2 linked regions of the Lepisosteus oculatus genome follow. Each later gene encodes a partner of the first gene's protein in a complex. Links are inferred from orthologs where the notes say so. Each region holds a gene or a part of one and is shown in the gene's direction. Other genes may lie near its edges.

Evidence for each region. Proteins that work in one complex are often made in the same cells at the same time.
Region 2: the proteins of cnnm2b (region 1) and ptp4a1 are in contact, whole or in part, in a crystal structure (PDB 5MMZ), measured with the Mus musculus proteins. The link is inferred for Lepisosteus oculatus from reciprocal best matches to the Homo sapiens genes CNNM2 and PTP4A1. Residues at the interface, in NP_291047.2 of Mus musculus: Phe526, Asp528, Val551, Asn553, Glu556, Gly557, Asp558, Pro559, Phe560, Tyr561; in NP_035330.1 of Mus musculus: Asp72, Gly73, Ala74, Gly107, Leu108, Gly109, Arg110, Arg137, Arg138, Gly139, Ala140, Phe141, Asn142, Lys144, Gln145.

The regions. Positions count from the first base shown.
Region 1 is NC_090699.1:36,009,690-36,017,327, forward strand, and holds the start of cnnm2b (metal transporter CNNM2), read left to right. Parts: upstream 1-4,636; 5' UTR 4,637-4,829; coding exon 4,830-6,312; intron 6,313-7,638.
Region 2 is NC_090712.1:20,374,916-20,382,556, forward strand, and holds the start of ptp4a1 (protein tyrosine phosphatase type IVA 1), read left to right. Parts: upstream 1-4,640; 5' UTR 4,641-5,050; coding exon 5,051-5,155; intron 5,156-5,790; coding exon 5,791-5,883; intron 5,884-7,020; coding exon 7,021-7,151; intron 7,152-7,641. UniProt on the Homo sapiens protein: Protein tyrosine phosphatase which stimulates progression from G1 into S phase during mitosis. May play a role in the development and maintenance of differentiating epithelial tissues.

The DNA.
Region 1 (7,638 bases):
GTTGAAAGTGATAATATGGACATGTACTGTATGAGCTCTGGATTGGCTCATCCACTTAATCCTGTAGCCATCACTTTTGGCACTTTTGGAAAAAGATATGAGACATGTAAAAAGAGCTACAGACAGCAGCTGCTGACACACCCCCCCACCGAAAAATGAGTGTCAAAGCAGTAGAGCCATGTTTACAGTCAAAGTATAACAACACCTTGGAATGAAAGTGTTTCGATTACGGCACAATGCAGTGCAGGCAGGACTGCCCTCTGCTTGCCACAGCAGCTCCCTTCAGTGACCAGTGCATCAGGCCGGCACAGGCTCTCTTCGGTGTCTGTCTCCTGCTGTGCACTGCAGCTCTCCTGTGCGTGCCTTAGCTCTGCAGGACACAAGCTCATCTCCGAGGCCAGGTATGATGTTTCCATCTCTCTCATGTCCACCCGGCCAGCCTGAATGTATCATCTGGACACTGCGGAACAAATAGAAGGGAGAAATAACTAATGAGTCTGTTCCTGTATCCAAAGGCTATGTTGTGACTTGTGATTGTAAACATCTAGAATTTAGAATGTTGTTTTTGACAAGGACTAAGATCATGTATTGTGCTGCATTTTCAATCTTTTGCCACCGAAATGTAAATTGTTACACTTCAGTCTGAAATATGATTCTCTAAGCAACCAAGTTTGTGAAAAAGATGTCGGCTTGGCTAAGTGTCACCAGTTGAAGATAATTGTAACACAGCATGCACACCTTAATTGCATGACCTTAGGTTCATGTTCAGTAAAGAAAAAAAAGTTGTTGTTTTTTTAAATCAGATTTGCCCCAGCAAAGCAAGTTCCAGAAAATAGATTGTTTTATGTTTTTTACTTCTGTGGTTTTTAATTTTTACTTCAGTTTCATTCTGGTAATGGTAAATGTTTTCTGTCTGTGTAGTCAAGGACTTGAATTGTCATAAGGGGAAAGTGCTCATTTGAAAAAAGTTTGCATGTGTAGCCTTGTATACTGGGGACTAAATTATAAAAACCCACAGAGAGCAGGGTGGGTATACATAATACACATTACCTTGCGTATAAGTTAGGAAAGTTTGCTGTTTTGGTGCCAACTAAAAATATCTTTCTTCAGAGATGTTGTTTCCTGCTTATGTTTAATTTTATATTTAGTGATCACTTGTATCCATTTAATATACAATGTATATTTCACTAAGGGTGCCTCTTAATGTGATCCTTTCCTTCGAATGAACAAACAGAATAATTTTCTATAATTATAAGATTGCATTAATCCTCTGTGCAAAAGGCTGAACTGAACAAGGCAATAAACAATACTCTGCTATATGTGTGTTTTGGTTATTTTTGGCTTAAAACATCCTTTTTATGCATTTCACATTTTATTGGTTCATGATTTTTCCAACACTTTCACTTTCATTGTTTTTCTGTAATGTGGTGAGCAAGTTTGCTTTTGTCACTGATAGATAAGATCACTTTATTGGCCATATACAATTTCTTGTATTATTAATTTGTCTTTTTTTTGGCATACCCCATCTTCCTCTCCATGAAACACACAGTCGGGGACAGAAGCTTGGGGTCAGAGCACAGGGTCAGCCATTTATATGGCACTCCTGGAGCACTTGGGGTTAAGTGCCTTGCTCAGGGGCCCAACAGAGTAGGATTCCTCTGCCGGCTGCAGGATTTGAACCGGCAACCTTTCAGCCACAGGCGCAGATCCTCAGCCACAGAGCCACCACGCCAATGCTTCCATCCGCTCTGCGTGTTCAGTGATGTTCAGTCTGTACTTCAGAAACCCCAGCCCTTCTATGACAACCGAGAGAAACTGAACCCCCCTTAAAGACTTAATTTTTACGTTAATTATAATACAGTATTCAATAATTAATGCCTTTTCTAAATATAGGCCAGAGTGTCTATGCAGTACTACCATTTGTCACAAGAGGGCGAAAATGGCACACGACAATTTGCCATTAAAACCTGTTTGTCAAACCATTGAGAAAAGATCCGTTTCTGGACTTTCTTTTTTCAACAGAGCAGTGGAATGTTCTAGACTGCAGAGCGGATGGAAGCATGTTGTCTGTTATACAAAAGGTAGTGGGAGCTTGGGCCCTGGCTCAATACCTAGGGTGCTGTCTGCGTGGAGTTTGTGTGTTGTCTCCTGGTTTGTGTAGTTTCCTCTAGGTGCTCCAGTTTCGTCTCCCAGTTCAAAAACTGTTGCTGGACAGAATAGGCTTCAGCTCCAGCTGTCCCCAAACACTATAATGGCTACATCAGTTAGAAAATGGATGGATGGACATCCAGGTTTACAAAGATATTAGAGATTTTTGTACTAACCAGTTTTCTTCATACACTCTTTTAACTTCAAGCAACTTTTTCCCTCAGTGTACTGGATTACCTCCTCCTAAGTTATGGCCGCAGGACATCCCTTCAAAGGTATATATTTTATCCTGTTTAAAAATAAACTCACTTCTTGATGCAGTTTTCCTCTGTTTCTCTTTTTCCTTTACTAGTGATTTGATGAGTTCTTCGTTTTTTGCGGGAGGAATCTCAAAAAGAATTTTTTGGTAAAAATATTGATTCTAATATATATATTTTAATTTAAATTACTTTAAATGTAGACGTATAAGCTATTTTTAATTGCTTGATTATTCTTTTGGCCTCTGCAGAAATAGAATCACGCACATTGAGAACATGTGCGAAGAGGACTCTAAAATAAAGCTGCAGGACATGTTAAAACTTACAAATACCTGCGCTATTTAAAAAAAAACGTTTATAGACAAACTACAAAACGGTTTGAGGGTGATTGATTCCATAAAACCCTTTGAAATGGCACAACTCGGGGCTGCTTCGGGTCAGAGTGGTGAGGAATTTGTTGCTACACGTGCTGCTCATGCCATCGCCACGCCCCGTGTTATCTTTGACACGCCCCCTCAGCGCCGCAGTTCGGAGGCCACGCCCCTGGGTCTCCGCCAGCGTCCCCTTCACACGTTTGGGGAAGTTTCGCTTCTCAGAGGAAGATTTAAGATATCTAATCTGATCTATTTCAGTGTTCGCTGATATGTTTATAAAAAGGAATTTGTTGTGCTATTTATACTGGATTTTAATGTTCTGTTGCTTACATATAAGGCACTGAACGGTCTCGCTCAAGGTTACTTTAGGACTTTTATTGCTTGAGTATAGTCCAACACTTGATCTGAGATGTGCTGATTCAGGTCTTCCTTTTTTTACTTGCGGCCAGGCTCACACGATGAAAGCCAGAGCACCACGATTTTAAAACTCACTGCCAAAAATCGGAGACTATGTATCCGTTGCTTTTTTTTACTAAACTTTTCATGTATGATTTTACTTTTGGTATTATTTGGTCAATTTACTGAGTGATTGTTTACTGACGTGGTGTTTTATGCGTGTACACTCGTGCAGCGCTTTTTTTATAACACTTCTAACTATAGCATTAACTCGTTTTTTCATGTTTTATTTTAGAATTTGCTTTGAAAGATAGCCTAAACCTCAGACAGTTCAATGTGTTATTAAAATACAGATGCCTGGATTATCCCAGGCGGTTGATGTTTTGTTTTTATGAGTGTTGCTCACGGACGTTTGAATTAGTGCATTGTTATTAAATTGTTTGATGATTAACTAATCAATAAAATACAAAGATAAAGGCACCTGTGTTTAATATCTACAAAGATTACAAAGTAATATTCCGCACCTTCTTTAAAGCTGTAGCTGAACCCAAGATACTAGGATCCTTAACGTCTAAAGCGTAGGTTTGAACATTTTGTTTAGACAACCACTACTACTTATCAAGATGTTGATTTCTTTTCTTTTTTTACTTAGAAACGTTTTATGTAATCGGCGTTTGGTATGCTACGTGACGTCCGGTAGTCGGTGTGTTACCGGTAGTAATATTACCATTCACCTACATTACTCTCAGAATTACAGCAGTTTAGGTATTTTGGATGTCAAGGTGACCGAAAGATGTACAATATGTGTTATGTTTACCGACTGCCGAAAGGAAAAACGAAGGGATTACGTCAGTTTACTATTCCCTTATGAAACTGGAAGAAAGAACAGGTACAGATTTATGCGAACATTAAACACATGAATAAAACAAAACACAACCAACTGCTCTTAACGTAGACGGTGAGATGCTTAACAGCAAAAACACACACGTCGTTACTGATGGCCTTTTTTCTTCCTAGCTTTCAAGGGGATTTCATTGAAGTTATGTATTAGGTCATCACACATCTTTGCAGAAAGAACTAGCATGAAGCTTCATTATTGTGAAAAGTCACAGTAAAACTACTCTCAATTTAAAACGGCTCTAAAGCCCTTATTTATCATAATTGCACCTGTTATCCACCTGCAGTCTCACGCCTGTCTCATTGACGGATGTTTCAGGAAGTGGGCAGGAACAACACCTTCATTGGTTGCCGAGATCCCCTCCCCTTCATCAGACCTACCCCCTCCTACACCTTATTTGCTGCCTTCAACCCTCCGTCAAAATAAGTCACGAGGACGGCCCTGGGCAGTAACTCCGCCCCCATATGTTTGTTTTCTTTTCTTATTGGCTTTTGCCTCGGAAAACACCCCGCCTCCTTATAAAATCGGTAGTTGATTGGGTGCGGGGGCCGCCCGTCTTTGGGCATCACGAGGAACACGAGTTCATACTGTGCTTGCTCCGCTGTGTTGTTGGTCAGAGGAGCTGGAGACGCGTGGTGGGAGCAGACAGGTCTGATGCATGAGTCAAGGAAACCCGCAGAGGAGATGAAGGCGGACTCCGATTGGCTGTGATTTTTAAAAGCCCTCTTCTTTTAAAAGCGGTTGCCCACAATCAAGATGGCAGAGCGCTCGGCCACAGTGCCCACTTTAAAGATGGCGGCGCTCAGCCGGGTCCGAGTTCTGGCTCTGGTATTCTTTACAGTCAGCGGCTGTTTGGTGAGCTTGTCCAGCGGCGAGGAAGGGGCAGAAGAGACGGTTATCATTGGGCTCAGACTAGAAGACACAGACGACGTTTCCTTTATGGACGGGGGGTCCCTGCGGGTCAGCGAAAGGACCCGGGTCAAGCTGAGAGTCTATGGGCAAAACATTAACAACGAGACGTGGTCCAAAATCGCCTTTACAGAGCATGAGCGGAGCAAAGTCGTTGGCAACATTGACAGCACCACTAGGGATAATAAGAGCAAAGAGGATACCTCAAGCTATCATCCCTGTGGCATTAGGACTTCGGATATTATAATTTTGCCCAATATTGTCTTAAATAGAAAGACTTCTGGCATAGTGGAAATTGAAATTAAGCCTCTGCGGAAAACGGAGAAGAGCAAAGCCTACTACTTGTGCATTGCCATGCCAACACCTGCTGTGTCTGGCGTGCACGACCCATGGACTGAGACCACCTGGATCTACCATGACGGAGAGGACACGAAAGTGATAGTGGTGGAGGAGAGGAAGTTCTTGCTGCCCTTTTGGCTGCAGGTCATTTTCATCTCGCTGCTGCTCTGTCTCTCGGGCATGTTCAGTGGGCTGAACCTGGGACTGATGGCGCTGGACCCCATGGAACTACGCATCGTCCAGAACTGCGGCACGGAGAAGGAGAAGAACTACGCCAAGAAAATCGAGCCGGTCCGGAGTCAAGGGAACTACCTGCTCTGCTCGCTGCTCCTGGGGAACGTGCTTGTGAACACCACCCTGACCATTCTGTTGGATGACATCGCAGGCTCGGGGTTGATAGCTGTGGTGGTGTCCACCATCGGGATCGTGATCTTTGGCGAAATTGTGCCCCAGGCGATCTGCTCCCGGCACGGTCTGGCTGTAGGTGCGAACACCATCTTTCTGACCAAATTTTTCATGCTGCTCACTTTTCCTGCGTCGTACCCCGTGAGCAAACTCTTGGACTGCGTCTTGGGGCAGGAGATTGGCACGGTGTACAACAGGGAGAAGCTCCTGGAGATGCTGAGGGTCACAGATCCCTACAATGACCTGGTCAAAGAGGAGCTCAACATCATCCAGGGCGCCCTGGAGCTCAGGACTAAGACCGTGGAAGATGTCATGACTCCCCTGCGCGACTGCTTCATGATCACCGCCGACGCCATCCTCGACTTCAACACCATGTCTGAGATCATGGAGAGTGGGTACACTCGGATCCCCGTCTACGAAGGGGAGAGATCTAACATTGTGGACCTTCTGTTCGTTAAGGACTTGGCCTTTGTCGACCCGGACGACAGCACACCATTGAAAACCATCACCAAGTTCTATAGCCATCCCTTGCATTTTGTTTTCAATGACACCAAACTGGATGCCATGCTGGAGGAATTCAAGAAAGGTGGGGCAGTATTTTTTTTCACTCACTTTGTTTACCTCCTTCAGATATTTATTGCATTTTAATGTTTCACCTTGGCAAGGGTTGAGTTGTAACACTTCTAGTGATGAGTGCTCTGATAAAGTGCGCCGAGTCTTTGTCATAACTGAGCGTGAGATTGGCATAGGACATGTCAATGTACAGTTATTTCCCTGATTACCATGGGGAATAAATGCGGTCTGATGATGCGGCTGTCTATAAGGTGTTTTCACAAGTATTTCCGAAAGTAGTTCGGTTTCTGGAAAAAGGTTGGTTCCCGATTTGGAACATCAGACACTTATCGCGATCTACTGTATATCAACCAGGATTCTGTATGAGGTTTTGCTGTTTTTGCACTTCTTGCTTCCCCGGTGTTCAGATGGCAAAGCGCTGCGCATTTTCATGCGGTAAACAAACAACAGTGCATCTTGCATCCTGCCACTCGCAGTCCTGTCGGGAGGGTGAATAAATTATGCCCATTCCCGTCGGGGGTTTGTTTGTTTGTTTGTTTTTGTCTTCATCCGCTCTTGTGGCTTGTGGAAAGTACGTGTGGCGGGTTGCAGGTCGCCAGGTGCTGCAGCGGTGCAGTGCCCCACACGCTGGCTGAGAGGACCGGGCGCAGGCACTGTGGGGGCTGAGCTGCCAGAGGGTACCAGTGCTGCCTGCTCAGCGATTCACGGGCTCATCAGATTGCTGTTTGAGTCCGAGGTGTACCCATCGCATCTACTGTGTTCAAAGGCGAATTGATCCAAACACTTATTACCTGTACGCTACCGCCACGACCCGATATGCACAAATCGCAATCACGCGGACGATGGGATCGTCGTGGATCCAAATCGCATAAAACATATGTATATATTCATCAGTTTCCCTACGGGATCAATAAAGTCTTATCTATCTAAATGTCGCCCAGTTAGATTGAAATTTCGCAGGCCTTATCTAATTTTTCTACGGCGTTTTGCAACTTGATGGCCGCCTGAACGGTTTATTTTATTGCGCAGGTGGCACTGGGGAAAAAAAACCCGTTAATAAAAATCAACTGCACTGATTCTAACCGCTACTGATTTCAAAATAGCATTTTTGAGATCAAACGTAGTTGTTATATTTTCTTTCATTCTCCCGATGAAGCTCCAAACGCCTATTGTATTCTAAAACACGATACACACGTTACACGTGGGCGTTTCAATGAAATATTGTCTAGTATGAGCTATCCATCCAACTTGTTTTTACCTGTAAAACAAATGAAATAATATTATTCCGATGTCAGTGATTTGCAGAAAGGGCAAATGTTTTGTTTGGTTAATGCTTGTT
Region 2 (7,641 bases), on another chromosome or scaffold:
AAACAATTTAAGAATGAAGAACGTCAGAACCTTACATGTCCTTTTTTCTTTCCTGTTGATATACCTAATTTTTAAGCATTTGTGACCACTTGAACTTGCAGTTATAAGCCTTATATCTGCCCTCATTCTGTTTCCATATCCTTCCCTGACCCTCATTTCCCCCTATTTTCCCATGATCATGCAGCCATTTCTTGAAAGATCCCAGCTCATCTGCTCTAACAACAAGGCTGGGCAGTTTGCATGACATACCTATCCCATAAGACACAGACATTTACAATACCTTGTGAACCTTAAAACTGCCTGTGATGTGAACTGGAACATAAATGATTTTTGGAGTACTACATAAAATATTTTAAGGATTCCTAAACACAGGAAAATGATTCAGATTTTGATTTAAAAAAATGTTGCAGCAGAAACCACAAGACACGATTCTTCATTGGTAAAGATTATAAATAGTATTAACATTTACGGCCTCACAATGCGGATGGGCGGTATTGGTGAACCCTCCTGCTTATTTCCGAGGCCACTTCAAAAAAGCGACAGAGGAATGGAAAGAAGTGAGTGTGTTAAAGGAAACTGAAAATACTGTAGTTAGCAAAACTATGAGAAGCAATACAGATATGTATTTGTGGATATATTTAAAGAATCATATATTATATTCTGTATATTATAGAAAATGATAATGTAAAGGATTATACTAACGATTCTATGTATATTTTTTTGAGAGGATGTTTGAGGTCTTGACGTCTAGGAGCGCTGTTTGAAGACTTGGGTTCGTGACAAGCTTAAGAAAGTGATTCAAACGAATCACAATATATGCAGAATTATGTACCTACATCACTTTAACAGCAGACTATCCCTTGTTAAGAAAGCTTTCTCATAACATGCTATCTCCAAATCTCATTCCAATAAGCCCAGGGGGGAAAAAAATGATATTTTCCGATTGTTGTCCCTATGATAGATAGAACTGTGTGATTACATCCCATTACGGAGGAGAGCTCTAACACCCACCAGTGAATCTGGCAATGGCAGGACTAATTGGATATACTGTTTGCATAAGTTCATCCTGCCCTAGCCACTGAGCGCAGCGGCAATGTCGGGGCTCTGGAGAGGAACGGAGAGGCGTGTGACGCAGAGTCCGGAGCTGCGCTGTCTTCGGCGGGGGTGGGGTGGAGACAAGAGGCGAGATCACTGCCTGCCCAGCACTGACAGCAGCGGAGCAGACGCCGACGCAGTCAGAGACGGTAGCTGTATGGTACAAAACCATTATACCCTTTTCTCTTCTTCCTAGGGACCGGCTTTATGATTAAGCTACAATCTTCAATGAGTAAGCATATCCCTGTAAGTATCCCTCTTTTTTTAATAAAAGATATCTTGTTTTTTTTTCTAGTCCTTATCCTACACTGTGATACAATTTGGCTACATTGTGGCCTCTTTTCTAACTTGCCATTATTCGCCAGCGTGTCTTTCTTAGGGGGAGGGTAAATTCTGTCGGTTACATGTCACACGTTTTTTATGATTTACTTATCGCTGTCAATGTATGAGTGCGTGGTTGCGAATTTAATACTGGTTTCTTGCGCTGGTTGTTAAATGAATGCCGGCGCGGATCGTGAAGGCACGCCTGGGCAAGACCGCCTACTGCATGCCTGGGAACGGGTTCCTAGGGCAATTTCTCATGGTAAACAGTTTAATTTAGCAAATGCTTCAGTAACTGTGTTGCATATGTCGTATGCAACATATGCTGGGTGCTGTTTATTATGCTCATGACGATTTATAAAGACGATTCCGTTTTCAAGACGCATCTTAATCGGAGTCCAGTGATTAGGCCTCAAACGACAGAGGCAGAAATTACAGGCTACACAAAGAGCTGCATTCGCCCGCTCCCTCCCGATGTGTCGGGTTTATGTTAGACCTAAGTGCTTCTATTCTGTACATATCTGGTTTAACCTCACAAAACACGTTTTTATTTTTTTCTGATTCCAAACATGAGAAAATAGCCATTTTCTCCCTTTTACAGCAGGTATGGGGTGGTATACCCGCCCGGTGCAATCGGTTCATTGATTCCCCCCTCTTTTCTCACCCTCGTGTATTTTGTGTGTGTGTGGGGGGGGTTGGGTTAAAAAAAAACATAATCGGCGTGTACAAGTAACATCAGGAAAATAAAACTGAGACATAGAACACTAAGGGAAACAAATCGCGTTCGGGAACATGGTGGCGGACCTGCGCGGCTCCCGACTGGAAGCCTGTTTAATCCAGTTCGGTCTCAGAAGTAGGGCACGGGTTTGCCCTGGATCTCCCGGTTTATCATCGGCGCCGGTGCCCGGTACCGCGGGGGCCAGCAGCCTCTCTCTGTATGTAGGCATTTGAGCCGCGGCGGACGCCTTGAATTTGCCCCGAGAAGGAAATTATTACCACAGTGGGATATGCTACACAGTAGCTAAATTGTACATCAAGTGATGCTTCGGGATACGTTGCGCTACAGCGAGGAGGCGGAGCGGGGGGATTCAAGCAGGAACCTGCTCACAAAATGGCCTTACAGGAACGTGGTCGAAACTGCTAGTGCTGTAAATAATTAGGGCTCCCCTCTGATTTAAGCTTCCTGTTAGTAGCTTATAGGAAAGGGAATGTCGAGTTTTCCGTGGAGGGAAATTTCCGCCAATTCTAAACATTTTATTAGCATTGGATTGTCAAAGTAACACTTGTTTCCACGATAAGGGTGTAGATTTTAAAAAAATACGTTTAGCTTTATCAAATATTAAATATTTAAAGTCGTGGCTTTAAATAAGGAACGCACGGTTAAAAAAATCCTGAAGCGACCCTTTCCGTTTTTACGACTATAACTAACCGGTGCTAGCAGGGAGAGAGAGAGAAAGCAGCTCTTGCGCTGAAATCCGTTGCTCCCTGAGCGGGCGGCCTGGTCCAGTGAAGTGCGCAGCGTCACTTGTGCCACTACAGGTGGACGCCATGAAGTCATCTTGACTCTTAAACCATTTTTTCTTTCATCTGCCAACAGATGTAATCACATGATATTAAGAGTCGCTGCTCAAGGCCTGATTCATATAAAAATGAGCCTTATGTCGAGTGTAGAAAAATGTTTTGCCGTCTCATGACTATGACTCATTGATGCTCATCTGATAGATTCGTTGTGTGAAGTCCCTTTTGATTTGAATGCAGAAGTCTTACCTGCAACCTGTTTCCCCTGAATTAGCTGGACAAAAGTGTTATTCACAGCACAGAGGTGGCTGGCTGATACTTCAAACCTTGCCCATAACTAATATAACTTTTTTTTTTAATGGTGTGCATAGATAATTATTTTTTCTTTCCCAACAGCGTAGGTTAATTTTAAATGTAGCATGGTAGTGTTTTGAGGAAGTGCAGGTGGAGAAAGTGTGACCGGGAAGCATGGCCCAGATGTAACAAGGCAGATGTCTCTCTCAAAGGTTTTTACATAGTGCTCCTCTCTCGGGCTAGGTGCTCGTTCTCTTAGATGTTTTTTCTTTTACAAGTGACGTAGTAATTATCAGTCCTAGAAATATGTACAGCCACATTTCAGATCTTGCACATCAGTTGTTGAAGCGTGGGGCACTATAGTCTGAAACTGTTCCATGTGTTTCGGGAGTATTCACAGGGACTCCTCAATGTGATGCACAGCCAGGAGGTTAAGTGCTCACGAGAATTGTATTAACAGTCCAGCTAATCACTGGCATATTCTGGTCTCTGATTCTGTGGTGCCTTTGCAATAAGTATTGCTAAGCAGTGACTGAAAGAGGTTAGGACTTTAACAGAGGTTTTTAAAGTAGATATGACTTAATGGTTGATACTTGGTTTGTAATGGTAAAGATCCTGTACACTTTACAAATTCTTTTGCTGAAATACAAATGACTTTGTGCAAAATGGTAAAAACAAGTTATTTTAAGGTAAAATATGCACATACTATTCTTGTTACAATTCCATTTTATGTCTGAAACCAAAAAGATTTTTTTAGACAATCATGGCTGAAGAACACATGCTTTACTTCCACGCTTCCCCATCATCCTGAATAGATCTTAATTTGTTTAGATATTTAAGTATTTATCTTCATTTTCTTCCATCTTATTCACCTGTTGGAGGTTAGCCGTACTTCAGTTTGCGTACTTGCAGAAAATGCCAAATGGTCTATAAAATAGTGCATATGAATCATGGTTGTGTGATTCAAGTACTTTTTAAGTGTTCATTTTGTTGAAGGTTTATTACTATGCAACTGGGACATTTAATGACGCAGCACATTGAGAAAAGCACAATAAAGCAAAGCTGAAGACTTGGCTTTTATAGCCACAGGTGTAGATTATGATTTGTTACTTGCAATTCAGCACAGTTTTCTGCCTTCAAAAATGTTTTAAAAAACAACAATCAAAGGAGTTCCAGCTTTTTGATTTGTATTTGCAACAGTTCAGTCAGGATAAATGTCACATTCAACATATCATCTTTAGAAAGTGTTTAGCAGTGGGGTCGGCCAGGGTTCCTGTGAACACGTGTTAACGCTTGTTCTGGTGGTTTCTCTTGCAGCAGTTCTGTGGTGTTCTTGGTCACACATTTATGGAGTTTCTGAAGGGCAGTGGAGACTACTGCCAGGCACAGCACGGAGTCTATGCAGACAAGTGAACTCTAGAAATTCATTACTACTCCACACAGAAACCCCCTTAGGAGCTGAGGCGGCGCTGATAACCTGGATAAGAAGCATTGAATAGTCCCGGCAGAGCACTTGTCTTCACAGAGGAGCTCGAACCTGGATGGGGTAACCTTTGGTGCACTGCCTTCTTTGTTGGCTTCAGTATTACTGGAATCAAGAAGATCTGCTGCTTTTTATTTAGTGATCCATTACCAGCCACCTACCCCCAGCTTATTTTCCTAGACCTCATCTTTGCAGAGGAGAGAATTTCCAGTGGAGTACAGTGAAAGAAAAAAAAGTCTTTTTTCCCATATATCCACGTCAATTTGTATTGGATATTTTTAAGCATTTTTTGTTATTATTGTTGTTCTTTATTAAATTTGTACAAAACCTTTTTTAACAATGGCCCGAATGAATCGCCCTGCCCCTGTGGAAATCAAGTACAAGAACATGAGATTCCTCATCACCCACAACCCCACTAATGCCACTCTGAACAAGTTTATAGAGGTGAGTTCCGCACACCATCAGAAAAATATCTGTGACACCCATGATTTATAGAAAGAAGAACTGTAGCTTTACTCTCCATAATATAAACCAGTGATCCTTTTTCCCATGTATAGATTGAATCCAGTTTTTTTAATGACGTTTATAACACAATTTTGGGAGGGATTATAGCAGCCAATTTCCATCAGCCTTGGCTGTCAGTAATTTGTAATAATTTCCTGACAGTATTGCCTCACCTAAAACATTATAAACACTATGCTTAATCCCCTTCTCCCTTAAATATATTACATTAAATAGATATGATACAATTTTTTACGTTGAATACAGGGGCTTGCTGGAATGTTTGTAATCTGTAGCTCCTCAGTACTTGGTCGTTAAAGATTCCATGGCACTTTTCATAAAAACCTAGCGGTTAAATTCCACTCTTTTTTCCAACATTTTCTTAAAGTTCCCCCTTAATTCGGCTGGTAAAGCAGTTTCTCCTTTCTCCACCTGATCTGTTGTTTGCCTAGTGTCACATAGTGTGTCCTTAAAGTCACCTCTGCTTTAGTACCAGATGAAGTAGGTTCCACTTCTATATGGTATTAAAAATTAGTTTTGACTTGAATGCGATTTTGACTTGTTGCTTTGTTTTAAAGGAACTGAAAAAGTATGGTGTTACCACGGTGGTGAGAGTTTGTGAAGCTACCTATGATACATCTCTGGTGGAAAAGGAAGGCATTCAGGTTTTGGTAAGTGCTGAGCAGGTTCATTTATTGGGAATATCCGGTTCCATTTTCCCACTTGGAATCCATGAGTTCAGGTGAAAAAGATTAGTGGTGGGTCTGAATTAGACCAATGCAACAATTAATCCATTTGTGCTTTATTTCATTTGGTAAAATGAATGGAAACTTCAGAGTGGTGACGAATGTTGGGAGAGGGATAGTTGGTTTGTTAGATTAGACTTGACATTTTCTTTTTCCTCAACACTGCCACGTTTCTATGCAAAAACTATATAATCAAGTTCAAGGTAACTGCAACAGCTGCTTTTAAAATCAATTATTTTGGTTCTCTGTATTTTGTTCTGTTTCAATAATCCTGTTAGAATAACTTTATATTCAGATAAAATGTATCTGAGCATTAAGGTTCAGCTTTGGCTGAAATTCTAGCCTGTTCTCATCAGACATTGGAAGCTAAGCCAAGCTGAACCTGGTCAGTACTGGCTGAGAAACTAAGGAAAATCAAGTTGGTCTTGAAGTGGTGTTGGTGGAAAATCAGAGGTGCTCTTCTTTCCTCACCGAAAAGTGGTGACCAGGAACACGTTAGGAGAGCTGAAGGAGGCGCCATCTTCTGATGAGGTGTTAAGCCAAGGTTTCTTTTTACTCTGTCATTTAAAGATCCCATGACATTCCATGGCCCGGTTGTTGAACTCATTTACCTGTGTGCAGGTGGGGCTCTAGAATTGTGGGTTCAAGCCTGTGGGTGATGTCACTAGCTGACTGCCAGGGGGAGTTTCTTAACAGCGCACTGTGGTGCACAATCGACTGAGTGCTGTCAAGGTTATGGCAGGATTAGTTGACCGGGGTGCGATCACTGCCATCACTGATCTCTGCAGCCTTGTACTTGCTAAAATTTTCTCAGTCTAGCCTAGTTTACCTCAGTTGTTGAAAGTTGTTGCCTCACTTCTTTGCCTAATCTGCTGTGTGGTGGGACTGTTGGCCCATAAGGGCTGCTCTGTGACAACCAGGTCGGAACTGTACTTCAGAGGTCGATGGAACATGTCCCTCATGGATGAGAAGCACTTTAGAATCCTTAGGGGTGAAAAGCACTTTATAAATGTGAGGAATTGGTAGAATTTCATGCTTTTCTGCTCTGAATGTTTTCTACAGGATTGGCCATTTGATGATGGAGCCCCACCTTCCAACCAGATTGTCGATGACTGGCTGAACCTCCTGAGGGCTAAATTCCGTGAGGAGCCTGGCTGTTGCATTGCTGTCCATTGTGTAGCAGGACTTGGCAGGTGTGTTTTGTCTTCATTGTGTTGCTCTTTGAAGAGCAGCCAATATGAAGTAACATTTATTTTGTTACTAATCTTCCATCCACTCTTTTAACATCTCAATTGGCAAAACAAATGACCTGTTCTAAGATGATTCTTCCTTTGGAAAGTTTATTGTAGCTATTGTTTTTATTGGTTCTAAAAAACGGTTTAGTTAATGATAGAGGTGTCATTTACATGTCTTTATTTTACAGAATTTTTTTATATGTTGGCAGCACATAATTTGAGAGTCAGGCTTAAAATCTTAAAAATATACAACACTTTGGTAAATGTTGTTGCATATGTTTGAAACAGTACATGACCCACTTTAATACTGAAGAAATATCAAGTCTTAGCCAATTTGAATTAAGGGGAGGAGTATGTACATTTAATCAATATATTGCAGGCATTTTGCATTATAATTTGGTCAATGAAATGACTTTTTTTTTAATTTCTGTCCAAAATTGCTTTCCAG